2 linked regions of the Notamacropus eugenii genome follow. The main gene of each other region encodes a partner of the protein of the gene in region 2 in a complex. Links are inferred from orthologs where the notes say so. Each region holds a gene or a part of one and is shown on either strand. Other genes may lie near its edges. The genes, in order: EMC9 and EMC10.

Region 1 (8,371 bases), on a different chromosome or scaffold from region 2:
TAGGGGTGAAGACTGGAAGAGATACAGAATGAAGATAGTTTGCAGGGAAAGGATGGCAAGGGAGGGAGGAGTTCAAAGGAGGGCAGGGAGGGAGCTGTAGCTACCACTTTGACTCATTTTTCCAGGCTGAGCTCTATCACATCATCAGCAACAACCTGGAGAAGATCACCAATCCAAAGGGTGAAGAGAAACCATCCATGTACTGAGCCCCAGGGCCATACAGCAAATAAATGATCTTAATCCTTTAACAAACTGAGCTGGTTGTTTTGTGCTTATTGTATCCATTCTGAGGAACTGTGGGAGTAGAAGAATCAGATGCTGCCTCAGGGGCACTATGACCGCACTGCTGTACGGCTGGGATTCCCCACCTTGAAGCACATGCAGTTCTGGGAAACTGCAATGGGTGCTTTCACATCCCTCCATCAGACCTCAGCATGCGGATGATAGGAGTGCATTGCTTCTACCCTGGTCCAGATCCTACACATCCCACATATTGGAGATTAGGTATCCTAGAGTCCAGGTTGGAAAGGACTGTATGTTCCCATGGCTGAGCAGAAACTCTCTATACCACATACTTGAAAAGTCATCTAAAAAATTTAAATAGTTCTCCAGGCTATACTTGAAAATCTCCAGTGAGAAGAAACCCACTGCTTTCCAAGACAGTCCTCTCCATTTTGGGACAGCTTTAAGTGTTAGGAAGTGTGTCTTGTACTTCAGTGTCTTTTCTCGTTATTAAAAAAACAATATGTTGAGATACATAGTTGGCCTGTTTATATAGGACCTATAACTTTTACTATAATTATTTTTACACCCGTAACTTTGTCAGGCTATCAGGACAAAAGCTAAAATATAACAATACCATATTAAACCACATCAGGAGCTTCTAGAACAGCCCCTACATTTCATGAGCATTCTTGAAAGAGAAATGGCCCTGGAGTCAGGAGGACCTGAGTTCAAATTCAGCCTCAGACACTAGCTGTGTGACCCTGGGCAAGTCAACCCAGATTGCCTCTCCCTTCTGCCTCCACTCCCCCCAGCTTCCAGAAAGGGCCACCTTGGTTTCACAGAAGAGCATTTTCTGGGCAAGTGACTATTTCTGAAAAATGTTCAAATATCCTTCCTGTCCAGTCTTTTCTTTATTGTTCTCCCAAGGGTATGACCCCCAGCAGGCTGTAATAATTAGAGGAAAAACATAAGTAGAAAGGATCCACTCCAACCCCATCACTTGAGAGAGGTGGAGAATGAGAACCACAGAATTTAAGTGACCTGCCTGAAGTAGCAGTAGAGATCATCTCCAAACATCTCATTTTACAGAAGAGAAAACTGAGACCCAGAGACATTCAGTGACTTGCTGAAAGGTCCTTAGGTAGCCCTGCCAGGATCCAAATTCCAAATCCAAGATCAAATAAATGCTCTAACTCCAAACCATGTTTTTTCAGTCCTCCAGGTTACCACTCTATAGTTTTGTAGCTAACAATGCCTACATGAGCGGGGTAGAAATTGTATTAGCTTTGTTGATGCCTTTTTTTAACACCACATTTACGAATGTATCCCCCTCCACCCTCCTATTCAGTAAAGAGATTTACAATCTAACAAAAATTAAGAGAAAAGAATAGTTTAATAAAACCAATGGATGTATCAGCAGGGTCTAATAGCACATGAAGCATTCTATATGCACAGTCCCCTACCTTACTAATGAGAGGATGGATTCTCTTGTCTCCTCTTAGGGGACAAGCTAATATGTATGTATTTAATTGTATTGGTATCATTGATCTTTACATCACTTTAAATTTCCCAATATCTCTTTCCTTTTCCCAGAGAGCCAACCCTTATAATACTAAGGAAAAAAAGAACATAACATGTGTGCTTTGGCCCCAATCTCTCAAGGTCAGGTGGACTATATCTTTCCTCAAGGTAACCCAAGTGGATTGAAGTAGGTTTTTCTCTACTGCCAGCTGGAACTCCAATCAACTATTTTTTCCCTATTAATCGGGTTCAGTGACTAGCAACCTCAGTCCCATTTAACCACTTAACAGTAGGTAACATTTACAAAGGAATTTACAAAGAAATAAAGATGTCGCAAGAACAAATATACATTTCCCCTAATGCCTCTCCTACGCTATCATCAGCCTCTAGGGGAATAGACTTGAAGCTTACCTCAATTACTACACAGCCTCAATCCTTCCAAGTTCATGTCCAAATGTGGCATAACTGCTAGATGAATTCTTTTGAGCTACAGTCACAAAGGTCCCTCCTGAAGATCACACCTTAGTCCCTGGGGTATAATGCTGTCCTGGTTGGGAAACTCAGCCTAGGCTTGAACTCCTGGATTCCTGCGGCTTGCTCTTTGGACCTTTGAAAATTCCCAGTTTCAGAGACTCTACTCCCCTTACCAGATGGCAGGCAGGAATCACTGGGATGACTTCAAAAGCAAATGAGGCAAAGAGGTCATAGCTGAAATGAATAGATTTTGCTGAATGCCTCTGCAGCCTAAGAGCCTTCTCTTCAACACATGGTTGATCAGAACCAGTTACAGAATGTCTACACATGCTTTGGGCAGCTAGGTGATGAAGTGAATAGACTTCTGGTCTTTGAATCAGAAGGATCTGAGTTCAAATCTGACCTCAGACTAGCTGTGTGACCCTGGGCAAGTCATGTAACCCTGTTTGCCTCAGTTTCCTCATCTGTAAAATGAGCTGGAGAGGGAAATGGCAAACCACTCCAGTATCTTTGCAAAAAACCCCTCAAACTCCAAAACCCCAAATGGGGTCTTGACTAAACACCAACGATGAAATCACACATTCCACAGTTTGTCTCTCTAAGGCATTTCTCTTATACATCACAAGTCTCCCCAAAGCAATGCACTAGTGTCTTCCACACAGAGACACCATCTGAGGCACTGCACATGTGCCACATCTCCATCACAGAAAGAAAAAAAAGTTCAGCAAAACTAACCATCTTATCAAAAATGATGATGATGATGATGATGATGACTGCCATGTGCCAAGGACTGTGCTAAGTGCTTTACAAATGTTATCTGATTTCAGCAATGTTCCATATCCTTCATGAATCCTTTCCTGCAAAGAAGTGACAGAAATATATTTTCTGAGCTTTTTGGGGCCAGGTTTGATACTTTGCCATTTCCTTATTTTTTCTTTTCTGTTTGCATTGGTGTTATTATTGTACAAATTGTATTCCTGTATTAATTTGGTAGCACTTCATATGTCTTCTTATGCCTTGCTGTATTTTTCGTATTCATTTTTCTTATGTCACTGTATATTGGTATCAAACTTTATGGACACCTATTTTGTTTTCAGTTTTTTGTTTTGTTTTTCCTATTACAAAAAGTGTTGCTATCAATATTTTGATGTACATTGGACTCTTTTTTCCCCCTATTTTTTTTTTTACCTCCTTGGAGGTAGATGAATAGTAGAGTAGTATCTTTGTGTAAAAAGATATGAACCTATCAGTTGCTTTCTTAAAATAATTCCAAATTGCTTTCTGTGAGACAGCAAAAGTTTCCACAATAAGCTATTGTTAAATTCATGAAGTCATTGAGAATAAGTTAGATAATAAGAAAGCCAGCAGACTAGAGATGGACTTAACCAATCAAAAGACAGACGGTGACCTTCAGAAAATTACAAAGTTTTTGATAAAGGAACTTGGCTAGCTGGAACTAGCCAAGAAAAATGACCTAGAGATATCTAGAAAAGACTTTTCTTTACTGTGCTTGCTTGAGGAACCTCATGCATATAAGCAGATACACTACGCATAAAATTATCCTTCCATTTTCTGATTATAGGTCCTATGTTAGAGCATGTTTGGAAGGGAGAATCCCTAAGGGGGTATTTTACAATGGGCATGTAGAGAAGAGGGTGACCTAATGGAGGATGGACCAATCCATCTCCTGGTGGGAGGATCTGTCTTGAATTAACGATATTTAGCTCATCTCACTTCTGTACTCTGTGCTCCCTCCTCCTGAAAAAGAGGGTGGGGGCCCACTTTGGCCAAAGTGTTCAATTCCTCTGAACTCTGCTGCAATAAATTTTCCTTGTTACTTTTAGTGTCTTGCGGGTTTCTAACACTTTCCCAAATGTTTGAATCACTTCACAGTTCCACCAACAGCATATTAGTGTGCCTGTCTATTCGAAATAGCTCCAAAATATTCCCATATTTTGTCATCTTGCTAATGTGTTTTTGGAGGGCCTCATTTATTTTGGTGGATGAAGGGAACTCATTTCTTGCTTTCTTTTAAAAATGTTAAGGTAACTTATGTTTACATTGCCTCGACTTCCCTCTGTAAATCTTTTCCCTCCTTCCCAGAAACCATCCCTTATAAGAAAGATTGTTTTTAAAGAGAGAGATAAAAAAGCTCAGTAAATTGATCACCAAGCTGAAAAAATCTGTTATGTTATGTTAGACCACTCCTACCCTCTGCAAAGGAGAGAAAGGAGTTAACTTTTCACATCGCTTCTTTGGGGTCAGGCATGTTCCTTACACTTTCGAAACATTTTCTGTTGTTTTGTAGTTATTGTCCTTTCCATTTACCCCATTGCAATAACTGTGCATTTCTTTCCTGGCTCTGCTTACCTCTCCTTGCGTCAGTTCTTTTAAGTCTTTCCTCGATTCTCTGTTTTTATCATCTTCGATCTTTTGCAGGGTGGAGCTGGGGGGCGGGGCAGGGATCATGTATTTTTTTTTTACAATGTAACAATGTTCCATTACATTCACTTATCACAATTTGTTTCTCCTTTCCCCTAATTAGTCAGTCAATAAGTATTAAGTGCCTGCTTTATGCCAGGCACCATGCCAAGCACCCTGCCTTCAAAGAGCCCACAATCTAATGGGGAAAGACAAGACATGAAAAGAAGCTGAAAAGGGAGATGTAGGGAAGAGGTGGGGGTAGGCCTGAAGCCAGGTCTGCCCTGGACAGATGTCTACTTTTTCCCACGGTTTTGTTTTGTTTTGCTACCACAAAAGGTGCTGCTATAACTATTTTAGTATCAGTAAAGTCCTTGGGATAGATGCCCAGCAGCGGAACGGTATAGGCATTTATTTGCGTAATTCCACAGTGCTTTCTAGAACTGGGGTTCCAAGTCACAACGCGGCTAATGTAGTTTTAAAGAGCTAGGAGATCGTGGACAAGCGAGAGGTCTGTCTCGGTGGAGTGCTGGGCGGCTCCAGGTGCCCCTCTCCAATCCTCTCCCTGACTGGTGCTGCAGGGAAGGGCCTAGGCACATGGACAGCAAGGAGCGCCCAGCCAGACCTCAGGAGGCTGAATCAACTATCCCCTCCCAGCGCACACGTTATCCTAGCGGCTCCTGCAAAGGAGCGGACCCATGAAAAGGCGAAGACAAAGTCTTCCAATCAGAACCTGGTCAAGGAACGTGCGCCCAGTGATAGGACGAATCAAAGTCGATTGGACCAACCCTGCGTCAGGAGTTGGGTGGCACCCCAAACTGGTCGGGGAGTCGGAGAAGCGGGAGGAGCTGCGGCTCGGCTGGGGCTGGACGCTCGCCGTAGCGGCCGCCCCTTAGGGGCGGGAGGGGTGTGTTCTCCGCTTCGGGAGAGGCCATTGGGGACAGCTTGGGGGGCGGGGGGGAAGGCAGCGTGACAGCTCCATCTGAGGGAGGGGGCCCGGAGCAGAATCGGCCGAGCCGGGCCCAGGCCCAATCTGGACGGCGGGAGGTGACGCTGACGGGGCCCCGGTGGCCGAGGGAGGTCCTGGCCGACTGCGTGCGTGCGGGGCGCGGGAGGAAGGGAAGGGGCAGCCAGGCAGGCGCAGGCCGGGCTGGCTCCTGGTCCCCGAGACCCCGTTTGGACCCCGGCCACAGCCCGCGGACCATGGGAGAAGTGGAGATCTCGGCCCGGGCCTACGTCAAGATGTGCCTGCACGCTGCCCGCTACCCGCACGCAGCTGTCAACGGGCTGCTGCTGGCCCCGGCGCCCCGGGCGGAGGGCTGCCTGTGCCTCAGTGACTGTGTGCCTCTCTTCCACAGCCACCTGGCCCTTTCGGTCATGCTGGAGGTCGCCCTTAACCAGGTACCCCTTGGCCCCCACCCCACTCCGCGCCTCTGGGCCTTGGCCTGGCCTCAGGCCCTGTGCCCCTTGGCATCTGTTCACTGGCAGTGCCATCTGTATAGGAACTAATGGGCCCTTTCTCGTGACAGGTGGATGTGTGGGGTGCGCAGGGCAGTTTGGTGGTAGCTGGGTACTACCACGCCAATGCCTCGCTGAATGACCAGAGGTGAGTGCGGGAGATGGCTGCTGGAAAGTGTCAGGGCATTTCTCTGTATGCGGGACCTCCTTCTCAGAAGAATGGTTTGTTGCCCCCTAATTGAAGGAAATGCTAAATTTCAGTTAGCGTTTAATGAAAATAAAAATGTATTTTTTTTCTTCCAAGTTTACAGCAGGGTGCTTGGACTCCAGGTTAAGCTCTGCTCTGAGGTAAATGTTTGCCAGGGTTAAATCCAACCAGTAATTTCCTCCTGACTGGGCTAATCTCAACTCACCTCGATAGGGGTTGAAGGACACCTGTTAGCTTTAAAGGACAGGCAAGTAGATGGCTCTGCTGCTCAGGACCCTCTAATGCCTCTTTTCCTCCTAGTCCTGGTCCCCTTGCCCTGAAAATTGCTGGACGAATTGCGGAATTTTTCCCTGGTGCAGTACTCATCATGGTAAGTCTGAGGACTGAGGGAGTTGAGGAGAAAAGGAGGGAGAAAGGGAATCCTGGAATCCTCAACAATCCTTACCTCAATTTCTCAGTTGGATAATCGGAAAATGGTGCCCCAGCCTCGAGTGCCCCCTATCATTGTCTTGGAGACTCGTGATCGACGCTGGGTCCCCAAAGACAAAAACCTGTGAGTAAAGTACCTCTATTCCTTTGCTACATACCCTTTGCTTCTAAGTCTGGACTCCTTCCCTCCAAATCCCCTTTTCCTGGAGTTCTAAGGCAGCAGAGAAATTAACTTCAATCCAGACTTCATCTCCTGGGGACATCCTAGACCTAAACTCTGTCTTTAGTCCTAGGTCTTTGTGATAAACTGAATGTTTCCTTTTTGGTGGGTTTTATTTCAGGGTAATGTGGCGGGATTGGGAAGAGTCAAGGCAGCTCCTTCGAGCACTACTTGAAGGCCGGGCCCACCAGCTTCTTGTTGACTTTGATGCCCACCTTGATGACATCCGTCGTGACTGGACCAATCAACAGCTCAATACTGAAATTTCCCAGTGGGTTGCTGCTGCCAATGGGAGTGCCTGAGTTTGTCCATAGTGGCAAGAACCTTAAATAAAAAGACTGGGGAGTGGTGTGACCAAATTTATTGGTGTTCAGAAGGCAAGGTATGGATAAGAGGGGAAGTTCTAATGGAAGCTGAACTGTGGCAAGACAGATAATCTTACTTAAGGGGTGATGGAGAAGGGAGGCAGGCTCCGTTTTTCAGTAGATCATTCCTTTTGTGTCCCCCCTGGGCTTCTTGATCTTCTCAAAGTTCTTCAGGATGATATCATATAACACAGCCTGTAGGACCCAAGTAAGAAGGGAGGGGAAGTTATTCTGAGCTCTCAGTAGAGGCTCTTTAATGGCTTCCCAATCTTACTAGAAGTTTATTTTCATTTCCTCTCTCCCACCCCTCACAGGGTATACCTCGTGAGTCATTTGTCCTGAAGCTAATGTTATTTGCCTCCATATCAACCCTCCCAACTTTGCCTCTGCTCTTCCACCAAGCAAATTCCAGGGTCTAGTTCCTTACATAAGTATTTCGGATCTCCATGACCATGAGTCTTGTCTCTCCATACTGTGCTTCATCCAGTTCATGAACCAGTTGTCGGTAGTCACCCTGTGGAGACTTCAGGGTTAGTTCTTCATACTGGCCTTATCTAATGCCCATCCTATCCTTCCTGGGGGCTTCCTTCTGAATTATGCCTCTGCCCACTCTGGACCTGCTTCCTCACTCACCACATGTGGTTGCTTTGCTGCTTTAGCCACTGCATCACCCCTTTCAGAGAAGTACCTAATGAGGAATGAGAAAAGTTATGGGGTGGGTGGGAAAGTAATGTTCCTTATGAGAGGTGAATATAGAAGACTTTAAAAAAAAGAAACCAAAATGGCAGCACCTAAAATGAGAGTGGAAAGCAAGAGCTGGAATTTGAGCCAGAAACCACTAAGACAGGGGCAAGATATACATGTGAGACTGGATCACTTACTTTGAGATCTGGGTTTGGAAGCCATCCAGCTTAGTCCTAAGTGTAGTCATCAGCTCAAATACCTTCTCCTAAGGAAAAGAAAGGTAGGAAAGAGATGAGATAAAGCATGGCTCCAAAGCAGGATCAAGGTAAGGTGTTTAGGGTGGGGCAGTATCATCACCTGGACTGC
Region 2 (9,353 bases):
TGACATGTGGTGGGAGTGGTGTTTGGGGGCCAGAGGCCGCCTAAGCTGCTGGGGGGGCCTGCTGAGTCATCCCCTGGTCTGTGGGCAAAGCCCCCACCCCAGCTCTGGCTGTGACCACTCTCCAAGGTGCCTCCTGGCTCTGGCCTGGCATCAGCATGTGGGAAGGGCCAGGTGGGTGACTGCTTTGTTCTGCACCCTCACTAGGCATCACCTTCAAGCCTCAGGAGTTCCAGCCACATGACTTCCGCTCTGCCCCCAAGTTCTTGACCCCGCTGACTGACCGGGTTGTGGTGGCAGGATACTCAGCGGCCCTCTGCTGTGCTGTTCGGGGGTGTCCCAAGGTGGGCGCTTGGGGCTAGGGAAGCAGCAGCAGCTGGGGAGAGGAGGGTTTCCTTGGGCACAGACAAAGTCAGGAACATGAATTCAAGGCCCCAGAATTGAGTGATCTCTTCTGAGGGCCTCAGTTTCCCCATTTGTAGAGGGGGGGTTGTGTGATCGCTCACACTCCAGGGATCCATTCCCCTGTTCCCTCTCTCCACAGCCGAAGGTGATCTGGATGAAGAACAAAATGGAGATTCATGAAGACCCCAAGTTCATAATGACCAACCAGCAGGGGGTCCTGACCCTTAGCATCCGGCGTCCAAGTCCCTTTGATGGGGGAACCTACTCCTGCAGAGCGGTCAATGAGTTGGGCGAGGCACTGGCTGAATGCAAGCTGGAGGTCCGAGGTGAGGATGTGGGAGGAACTGCCTTGGGCTGGCCGGCTGGAGGTCCACATCTGGCGGATTTCCTGTTCAGCCTGCAGTCCTGTGGCTAGCAAAGCGTCCCCAGAAAGGCACTCAGGAAAGATCTGGAGCCAAGATATCTGGCTTCAAATTCTGGCTGCATCAATGACTAGCTGTGTGGTTTTTGACAGCTCCTTGAACACCTCTTTGTTTTCTCTGTAAATGGGGTGAGGGCTGGACCAGGTCAGCTCTAGGGGCCTTTCCAGCTCTGTCCTTTTTGAGAGGCAGCCAGATGACACCATGGGGCTGGAGAACCTGGGTTCAAATTCAGTCTCAGACACTTAACTGGGCAAGTCACTTAACCACTGCCCCAGTTTCCTCATCTGTAAAAGGGGGATAATAGCAGCCCCTACCTCTCAGGGGTGAGAGGGAGACAATTGTGCTTTGCACCTTGTGCTCTAGAAATGCTAGTTCTAATTGGTAATAGTCCCACATATTCTGATAGTGCTCTAAGGACCTTGAAAGGTGGGCTTCCCTTCTCACAGGTAGGAGAACTGAGGCTGGGGAGTGACTCCTTGCTGTAGGTTCTCGGCAGTTTGGATTCTAACCCAAATCTCTTGTCTATGAGCCAAATTAATGCTCTTTTGACCACTTCCTCTCTCTGGACCTGTTTCCTTAGTGGCAAAAAGGACTCAAAGGTGCCTGCTTGATCTGGGACTGGTCACCTTCAGATCAGTTCCTTTATAGATGGGGGCAGATGGTGTGAAACCAAGCCAAGAATGTCTCAGTCTAAGGGCAGTAACCATGTGGAGGAGGGGGAATGGTCACAGTAATCACTCTGATGGGGGACAGCTACTAACCAGAGACAAGTGACTGGAGCCAGGGGCCACAGGAGTCAGCTGGGACAACAGAGCCAAGATCTCAGGTTTAGAGCTGTAAGGGGCCTGCCTGTATTTAAAAATGATGAAGCAGAGACCCAGAGATGAGATGTGACACCCATGGCAGCACACCACAGAGGTTGAGACAGAGGGAAAGTCAATTTGGAAGGAAGGGAGAGCTATACCAGGGGCCTGGCAGCTCATCCCCCTCACTGGGACTCAGTTTCAGCATCTGAAAATTGGGGATAATGATGCTCACAGGGCTTTCCTCTTCTCCAGTGCCACAGTAATCCTTCCTGAGGGCAGTCGATGTCCCTCCTGCCCCACCCAGTCTTTGCTGAGACCCTGATGAACCTGCCCCTGGACCCACTCCATGGTGACACCTCTCCCTCCTACTGATTGTTCATGTCAAACATGAAACTCACTGACTCTGTGGCTCCTGTTGTCAGTGCCTCCTGCATGGATGGATGGATGGATGGATGGATGGATGGATGGATGGATGGGTGGATGGATGGATGGATGGATGGAGGAAGGGAGGGAAGGAAGGAAAGGAGGAATTTAGGACTTCCATAGCTGAAGTCTGCTATGTGAATGGGTGGCTAGGTGGGTGGATGGATGGATGGATGGATGGATGGGTAGATGGAGGGATGGATGGGTGGGTAAATGAAGCGAGGAGAGGGAAGGAGGAAGGAAGGAAGGAGAAATTCCAGACTTCCATGGCTGGTGTCTGCTTTGTGGATGGATGGATGGATGGATGAAAGGACGGATGGATGAATTAATGAATGAAGGGGAGTGTGTGCACAGCCAGTTCTGACATACGGAATCTTTATTAGACTTGGTATTCTGTGCCTCTGTCCAGGGAAGAGGTCTCTCTCTGGCCTTCTGGTGTCCCAGGGAGGAAGGAAGGGTGGTGTATGTGTGTCCTGACCTCCCCCCCCCCTGCAGGGTGGAGGTGAAGGCAAGATTGGAGGCTCTGCACCTCGGGGAGTACTGGGCCTGGAGCCCTGGGTCTGGGGTGTGGGAGGTGGCAGTAACAGCGGCAGCAGCATCTCATATCTGGGGTCTCCACAGAATTGAGGAGGGGGCGGTCCTCTGGGCCTTCACTAGGAAACACAGAGTGAAGAATGGGTGAAGCTCTGGGGGTCCAGGAGTGCTCAGGTTCCCTGTGACCCAGGCCAGCCTCACCCTCTCCGGTCTTGTCACGGCCCCCTCTCCTCTTCCTTGGGGCTGGGGGCCTGGGTGAAGGGCACCCTTGTGCTGGAGTCAAAGCGCAGTCGGTAGAGCAGCCGGACCCAGCGGCCAAACTCCTGGTCTTCAGAGGCCGGAGCCCTAAGCTGCAGGTAGAATGTGCGGCCGGACCACAGCTTCACCTTCAGCTGCTGCCGCTTCTCGTCATGGATGAACAACTCCACAAATTTCAGGGGAATCAGCCTGTCCCCAGACCCCCAGAGAGGAGATCAGCCAGGGCATTGGCGCAGGAGGGATGGCCGCAGGTGTGGGCCCTGGCCCTGCTGGGTACCTCATGTGGAGAGGTGGCCAGCAGGAGCCAGGGAAAAGCTTTGCCTTGTCTTCAGTGGGGGCGGGAGGCAGGAGGCAGGAGGCACCTTCCATGGGGAAGGTGGAGAAGACCATCACTCCCAAGCCAGAGAACCTGGCTTCAAAATCCACCTCAGACACTCGGACACTCCCTATGTGGCACTGGTGGAGTCACCCCCTCCCTGGGCCCCAGTTTCCCCATCTGTAAAGGCATGGGGTTGGCCTAGGTGAACTCTGAGGACCTCCCAGTTTTAGCTCAATCCCCTTTTCCCGGGTCCAAGCATGCTCTTGCAGGGTGGAGGGGGCTCCCTCTCCAGCACCTCCGATGTCTGCCTCCCCTCCCTCACCACAAGCAGCCTTTCCCAAGTTCCCTGGATGCTCAGTTCCAGCTTGTTCTGGTTGTACGTGGCTACTGGTCGGCCATCTCCCCCCTTGGACTCATCCCCCAGTAGAAGTTCCTCCAAGGCTTTGGCTGTTCGGTTATTTCATCCTGTCTGACTCTCCGGGACCCTACTGGGGGTTTTCTTGGCAGAGATATTGGACTGGTTTTCCATTTCCTTCTCCAGCCCATTTTACAGATGAGGAAACTGAGGCAGACAGGGTGAAATGACTTGCCCAGGGTCTCACAACTGGTGTAGGAAGTTGGATTTCAACTCAGGGAGAGTTCCCGATGCATGGCCCGAAGCTCTGCACACTACAACCCCACCTAGTAGTCAGCTTCTTTTAGAAGGGACTCTGATACCTGGAGAGCACCTACTTGGTTGCTATCAGGCACAGACACTTGGGTGGGGGATGCACACTGTACCTGAGGATCAGCCATTGGGGGAGGGGTTAGATGGATTAGCCTGCTGAGCGCTGGGCAGGGCCTCACAGGGTAGAAGACAAAGCCCTGACTACAACACTTAGCTAGGCTGGCAGCCTCCTCCGAGCCTCGACAGCTACTTGGCAAGGCATTTTACAGATGGGGACACTGAGGCTAGGTGGGGCAGGGTGGTAGCAGGAGCTGGGGGGGCATACCAAGGAAGTACCCATGAGGGTCTGGGTGAGCCCAGCAGGTAGGGGTTTTGGGTTTTTTTTTGGGGGGTCCTCACTCAAACAGTTGCAGGCCCCCCTTCCCGGGGGAAGGCCCGGCCAGCAGCAATATGTCAGGCAGCTCCAGGGCTGGGCTGGTGGCTGCCACACCCATGGTCACCTTGTTGGCTACCTCTCCGAACCGAGTAACCTGGGGGCCGAAGGCCGGAGGTCAGAGCAGGGGTGGGGTTCCTGAGAAGCTCGCGGGGGAAAGGAAGATTCCCAGGTTTGGGTCCGAGATCAGGAGGGGATGCGGAGGCTGGGGGTGGGGGGCAGCCGCAGCGGGGTAAGGGCTGCCGCCCGACGGGCACCTGGACGAAGTTGCTCTCAAACATGGGGAAGTCGCAAAGCTGGTCGAACTCCCCGCTGCACAGGTGGCGCTGGAGGCGACCGGGCCTGGGGTAGGTGGACTGCAGGGGCCTTGGGACGGCCTTCGCCCCTGAGGAGTAAGCAACAGGACCACGCCTGCTGGGTGCTGGGAGGGCGAGGGTGGGGGTGGCGCCTGCTCCAGCCTCCAGCCCGGCTTCACGCAGGTGCCCCCTCCAGCCCCGGTCCCGCCCTCACCCGGGCCCCGCGGTGGGCGGTCACCTGTTCCAGCCTCCAGCCCGGCTTCACGCAGGTGCCCCCTCCAGCCCCGGCCCCGCCCTCACCTGCCCGTCGTGGGGCGCCCTGCTCCAGCCGCCTCATGCTCGCCCCGCTCCGGTCCTCGCGAGCCTCGGGGGGTAGGGGGTTCCGGGCTGGGCCGGGGGCCCTGGGGGTGGCTGGGGTCTACCCAGCAGAGGCGGAGGAGGGCGCGCGCTCTCCTCCCACGGCACCAAGTTCGGCCCTCTGGGTCTTTCCCCGAACGCTACCAGGTTGCTACGGAGACGGGGGCGGGGCCCAGTTTCTGTGAGGTCACGGAGCAGAGTAGTCGCGCACGCGCAAAACACATGGCCGAGAAACCGAGGCTCGAGTGGGAGTCGATGCGCATGCGTACCTCCGTGCCTTGGGGAGCCGGGTGGAGGTGGGGCACGGTTTGCTTTAGGCGTATTTAGCAGCGTGACGTCACATGGAGGGAGAAGAAAGACGGAGCCCGCAAAGGCGCGCAGGCGCAGAGGCTGCATCCGCCCTCTCCCAGAGTGCGCCGCGCGTGGTCACGTGAGCGCGGCCGGGCGGCGATGGCGGCCCCCTGGCTGGTGCTGCTGTTTCTGGCTGCGCCGGGCGCGGTCCGGGGGAGCGGCTGCCGGGCCCCAGCCCGGGGGGTCAGTACTGCGGGGGGGCAGGGAAGGGGAGGGCCCCCCCCCGCGCTCTGGGTCCTACTTTATTCTCTGTGCAGTCTTGGGGGCTCCGCTCTCAGCGCAGACTGACCCCAGGTGGGCAGCCCCCTGCCCCGGGACCCCGCCCCAGCGTCAGGAGTAGGGGTCCCCCGGGGAGCACCCCCTCTGATCACCGTCCTGCTGCCCCCGCGACCCCCGATCTTCAGACATCGCCTGGGGCGCCCCGCCTTTCTCCTTCTTTCTTCTTGGGATGGTGAGGCCCCGCGGGGCAGAGGCGGGGCGTGTGTGACCGCGAGATGGGGCTGGGGTTCTGTGCGTGACCCGGGCCTCCCTTCCCGCAGGCTGCGGCTGAGGGCTGCGCGCCCACGGGGCTGCTGCTGGAGCACTCCTTTGAGACCGGTGAGGGGGCTGGGAGCGGGGCACGGGGCGGGGCTCGGTGTGGGCGGGGCGGGGGCGGGGCTCGGTGTGGGCGGGGCGGGGCGGGGCACGGGGCGGGGGCGGGGCGGGGGCCTGGGGGCGGGGCACGGGGCGGGGGGGGGGCCTGGGGGCGGGGCACGGGGCGGGGCTCGGTGTGGGCGGGGCGGGTAGGGGCTCGGGGCGGGGCACGGGGCGGGGCTCGGTGTGGGCGGGGCGGGGGCGGGGCACGGTGTGGGCGGGGCGGGTAGGTGCTCGGTGCGGGGCGGGGCACGGGGCGGGGGCGGGGCGGGGGGGCCTGGGGGCGGGGGGGGGCGGGGCTCGGTGTGGGGCGGGGCGGGGGCCTTGGGGCGGGGTGGGGCAGTCCGAGGCCTGGACATCCCCAGGGCCCCTCTGGGTTGAAGGGCAGCCCCCATCCAAACCCACATCCCCCGCCCCCCAGGGGAACCCCCGCTGACTTTCTGCTTTTGACCCTTCCTGGGATGCGCCTCAGCGAGGGGCAGCCGGGGGTGAGAGGACTGTGGTCTCTGAGCCCCCCCTTTCTGCAGATGACAGCGTCCACTTCCGGAAACGGGGCTCCCTGACATGGAACGTGCAGGACGGGACCATCGCCCTGACCCAGCGCCAGCTGACTGAGGATGAGCGGGGCCGGCTGCGGGTGAGGGGCTGGAGGCGGGGTGCAGGGCTGCGGGGTGCCAGGCTGCGGGTGAGGGGCTGGAGGCGGGGTGCCGGGCTGCGGGGTGCAGGGCTGCGGGTGAGGGGCTGGAGGCGGGGTGCAGGGCTGCGGGGTGCAGGGCTGCGGGGTGCCAGGCTGCGTGTGAGGGGCTGGAGGCGGGGTGCCGGGCTGCGGGGTGCCAGGCTGCGGGTGAGGGGCTGGAGGCGGGGTGCAGGGCTGCGGGGTGCCAGGCTGTGGGTGAGGGGCTGGAGGCGGGGTGCAGGGCTGCGGGGTGCCAGGCTGCGGGTGAGGGGCTGGAGGCGGGGTGCAGGGCTGCGGGGTGCCAGGCTGCGGGTGAGGGGCTGGAGGCGGGGTGCAGGGCTGCGGGGTGCCAGGCTGCGGGTGAGGGGCTGGAGGCGGGGTGCCGGGCTGCGGGGTGCCAGGCTGCGTGTGAGGGGCTGGGGACAGGGTGCCGGGCTGCGGGGTGCCAGGCTGCGGGTGAGGGGCTGGAGGCGGGGTGCAGGGCTGCGGGGTGCCAGGCTGCGGGGTGCCAGGCTGCGGGTGAGGGGCTGGAGGCGGGGTGCCGGGCTGCGGGGTGCAGGGCTGTGGGGTGCCAGGCTGCGTGTGAGGGGCTGGGGGCAGGGTGCCGGGCTGCGGGGTGCCAGGCTGTGGGGTGCCAGGCTGCGGGTGAGGGGCTGGAGGCGGGGTGCAGGGCTGCGGGGTGCCAGGCTGCGGGTGAGGGGCTGGAGGCGGGGTGCTGGGCTGCGGGGTGCCAGGCTGTGGGTGAGGGGCTAGGGGGTGCCGGGCTGTGGGTGGCAGACCCTGCAGAGTCCGGAGGCCCGCGTGCTAAGCCGGCCCGGGGCCTCTCTTTCCGCTCTCCCCAGGACGTGGCGGCTCTGAACGGTCTGTACCGAGTCCGGGTGCCCCGGAAGCCCGGGGCTGCCGAGGGGCTGGCAGTCACCGGCCACGTGTCCTCCTTTGTCCCTGCGGTGAGTCTGACCGGAGCCCCTGGGGGTCCTCCCCGGGCCAGGGAATTCCCGGTGTGGCTTCAGAGGCCGCACCTGGGTCCCAGCAGATTACAGGAGCACACCCCAAGTGACTGACCTTAGAGCCTGGCAGAGCTGGCCTCATTCTGCCTGTGACCCACCCCCCCAACCATGGCCCGCCTCTGCCCCTTAGGGAGCCAGAGCCTCCTTCCCTGGTCTCATCATGCTGCCCCCTGCAGTGCTCCCTGGTCGAGTCCCACCTCTCCGACCGGCTGACCCTGCATGTGGACGTGGCCGGCAACGTGGTGGGCCTGTCTGTGGTGACGGAGCCCGGGGGCTGCCGGGGCCACGAGGTGGAGGATGTGGACCTAGAGCTGTTCAACACCACGGTCCAGCTGCAGCCGCCTCTGACGGCGCCAGGGTGAGGGGCCCGGCCCAGCCCTGCCCCCCTTCCTCCTCACGGCCCCCAGGGTGAGGGGCCCAGCCCTGCACCCCCTTCCTCCTCACAGCCCCCAGGGTGAGGGGCCCAGCCCTGCACCCCCTTCCTCCTCACAGCCCCCAGGGTGAGGGGCCCAGCCCTGCCCCTCTTCTCGGGGCCCCCAGGGTGAGGGGCCCAGCCCTGCCTCCCTTCTCGGGGTCCCCAGGGTGAGGGGCCCAGCCCTGCCCCCCTTCTTCCTTGGGGGCCCCCAGGGTGAGGGGCCCGGCCCTGCCCCCCTTTCCTCCTCCGGCCCAGGTCATGTCTATCTCTTGTCTCCCCCCTCCCTCCCTGCCCTCCTCTCCTCTGGGCCCCCGACATGCTTTTCTGTTCTCACCCACTGCTCTCTCCAGCCCAGAGACAGCTGCCTTCATTGAGCGTCTAGAGATGGAACAAGCCCAGAAGGCCAAGAACCCCCAGGAGCAGAAGTCCTTCTTCGCCAAATATGTGAGTGCCTTCCCCACTCCCCTGAGCACTTAGGACAGCCCTGGGTAGGGCAGAGGGCGGGCTCTGCGCTGGGCCCTCTGGGGCCTCTCCTCGGTCTTCACCTCATCCACCATACCCCCTTCTTGTTCCTCATCTCTGGGGCTTCCCTCCCTCTGCCTGAGCCCCCTTTGGGTCTCAGTTTTTTCTGTTCCTTGGACAGAAGAGGAGGGCCTGAGCCTGGGGGTGGGGTGGGTCCATCTCCCTGGGGCATTCCCTTCCTCCTCACCCCTGCTGATGCCTCCTTTCTGGAGGACCCTCTGGGGAAGAGGGGGCCTCCCATTTCTCACTTCCTCCTCAACAATTGTGTTCTGTAGAACAATCAGAGCAGCCCTTGATGGGGCGCATATGGGGTACCTCCTCCTCCACACCCTGCCAGAGGAGGGAAGAGCCTCCTCTTGTCTGTGTGTCGGCTGCTGCTCTTGGGGATCTTACATCCTCCAGCACGATGCAGAGCAGCCACACAGTCTGTGCAGAGTCACCTCGAGGATGGTGTCCACTGTTCTGGAGGGCCAGGAAAGGGCATCCTTCATGGCAGAGGCAGCCTTCCAGCTGAGCATGAGACACTTTCCTTTGCTAAAATGCAGCAAATCTTTGGTCTAGTAACACCTTCAAAGAAGGAACTCTGGTTAGGGGCTGAGACCTGCTCTTGAGGAAGGTCCACTGCTCTCTGGGATGGCTCCTCCTTTTTCTAGTTGCTCACCAGTCACCCTTTTAATCCAGGTCACTTCAGTGGTGCATGGTCTTCTCCCAGTCCTCTGGTACTTCATAGACATCTCATGTGCCCTTTCTTTCAGTCCCCAAGGGCTACTTTTACTCCACTTCTTGTGAGCTCCTCATGGGCAGCTGGGGGCTTGGAGCTACATCTCCAGGC

What was found.
Region 1: EMC10 (region 2) and EMC9 share a complex: the UniProt entries of both Homo sapiens proteins name them as parts of the ER membrane protein complex. The link is inferred for Notamacropus eugenii from reciprocal best matches to the Homo sapiens genes EMC10 and EMC9.

Annotation. Positions count from the first base shown.
Region 1 is NC_092878.1:9,142,296-9,150,666, forward strand, and holds EMC9 (ER membrane protein complex subunit 9), read left to right. Parts: upstream 1-5,558; 5' UTR 5,559-5,844; coding exon 5,845-6,042; intron 6,043-6,170; coding exon 6,171-6,247; intron 6,248-6,607; coding exon 6,608-6,677; intron 6,678-6,765; coding exon 6,766-6,860; intron 6,861-7,077; coding exon 7,078-7,258; 3' UTR 7,259-7,315; downstream 7,316-8,371. Other genes in the region: PSME2 (proteasome activator complex subunit 2), read left to right, coding at 126-206; PSME1 (proteasome activator complex subunit 1), read right to left, coding at 7,436-7,516, 7,749-7,835, 7,955-8,009, 8,203-8,270, 8,363-8,371. UniProt on the Homo sapiens protein: Part of the endoplasmic reticulum membrane protein complex (EMC) that enables the energy-independent insertion into endoplasmic reticulum membranes of newly synthesized membrane proteins.
Region 2 is NC_092876.1:5,128,507-5,137,859, reverse strand, and holds the start of EMC10 (ER membrane protein complex subunit 10), read left to right. Parts: upstream 1-5,331; 5' UTR 5,332-5,367; coding exon 5,368-5,451; intron 5,452-5,612; exon of another isoform or gene 5,613-5,716; coding exon of another isoform or gene 5,717-5,719; intron 5,720-5,807; coding exon 5,808-5,865; intron 5,866-6,428; coding exon 6,429-6,538; intron 6,539-7,419; coding exon 7,420-7,524; intron 7,525-7,714; exon of another isoform or gene 7,715-7,760; coding exon 7,761-7,942; intron 7,943-8,349; coding exon 8,350-8,443; intron 8,444-9,353. Other genes in the region: MYBPC2 (myosin-binding protein C, fast-type), read left to right, coding at 205-341, 542-817; GARIN5A (Golgi-associated RAB2 interactor protein 5A), read right to left, coding at 2,433-2,937, 4,231-4,361, 4,522-4,649, 4,861-4,897. UniProt on the Homo sapiens protein: Part of the endoplasmic reticulum membrane protein complex (EMC) that enables the energy-independent insertion into endoplasmic reticulum membranes of newly synthesized membrane proteins.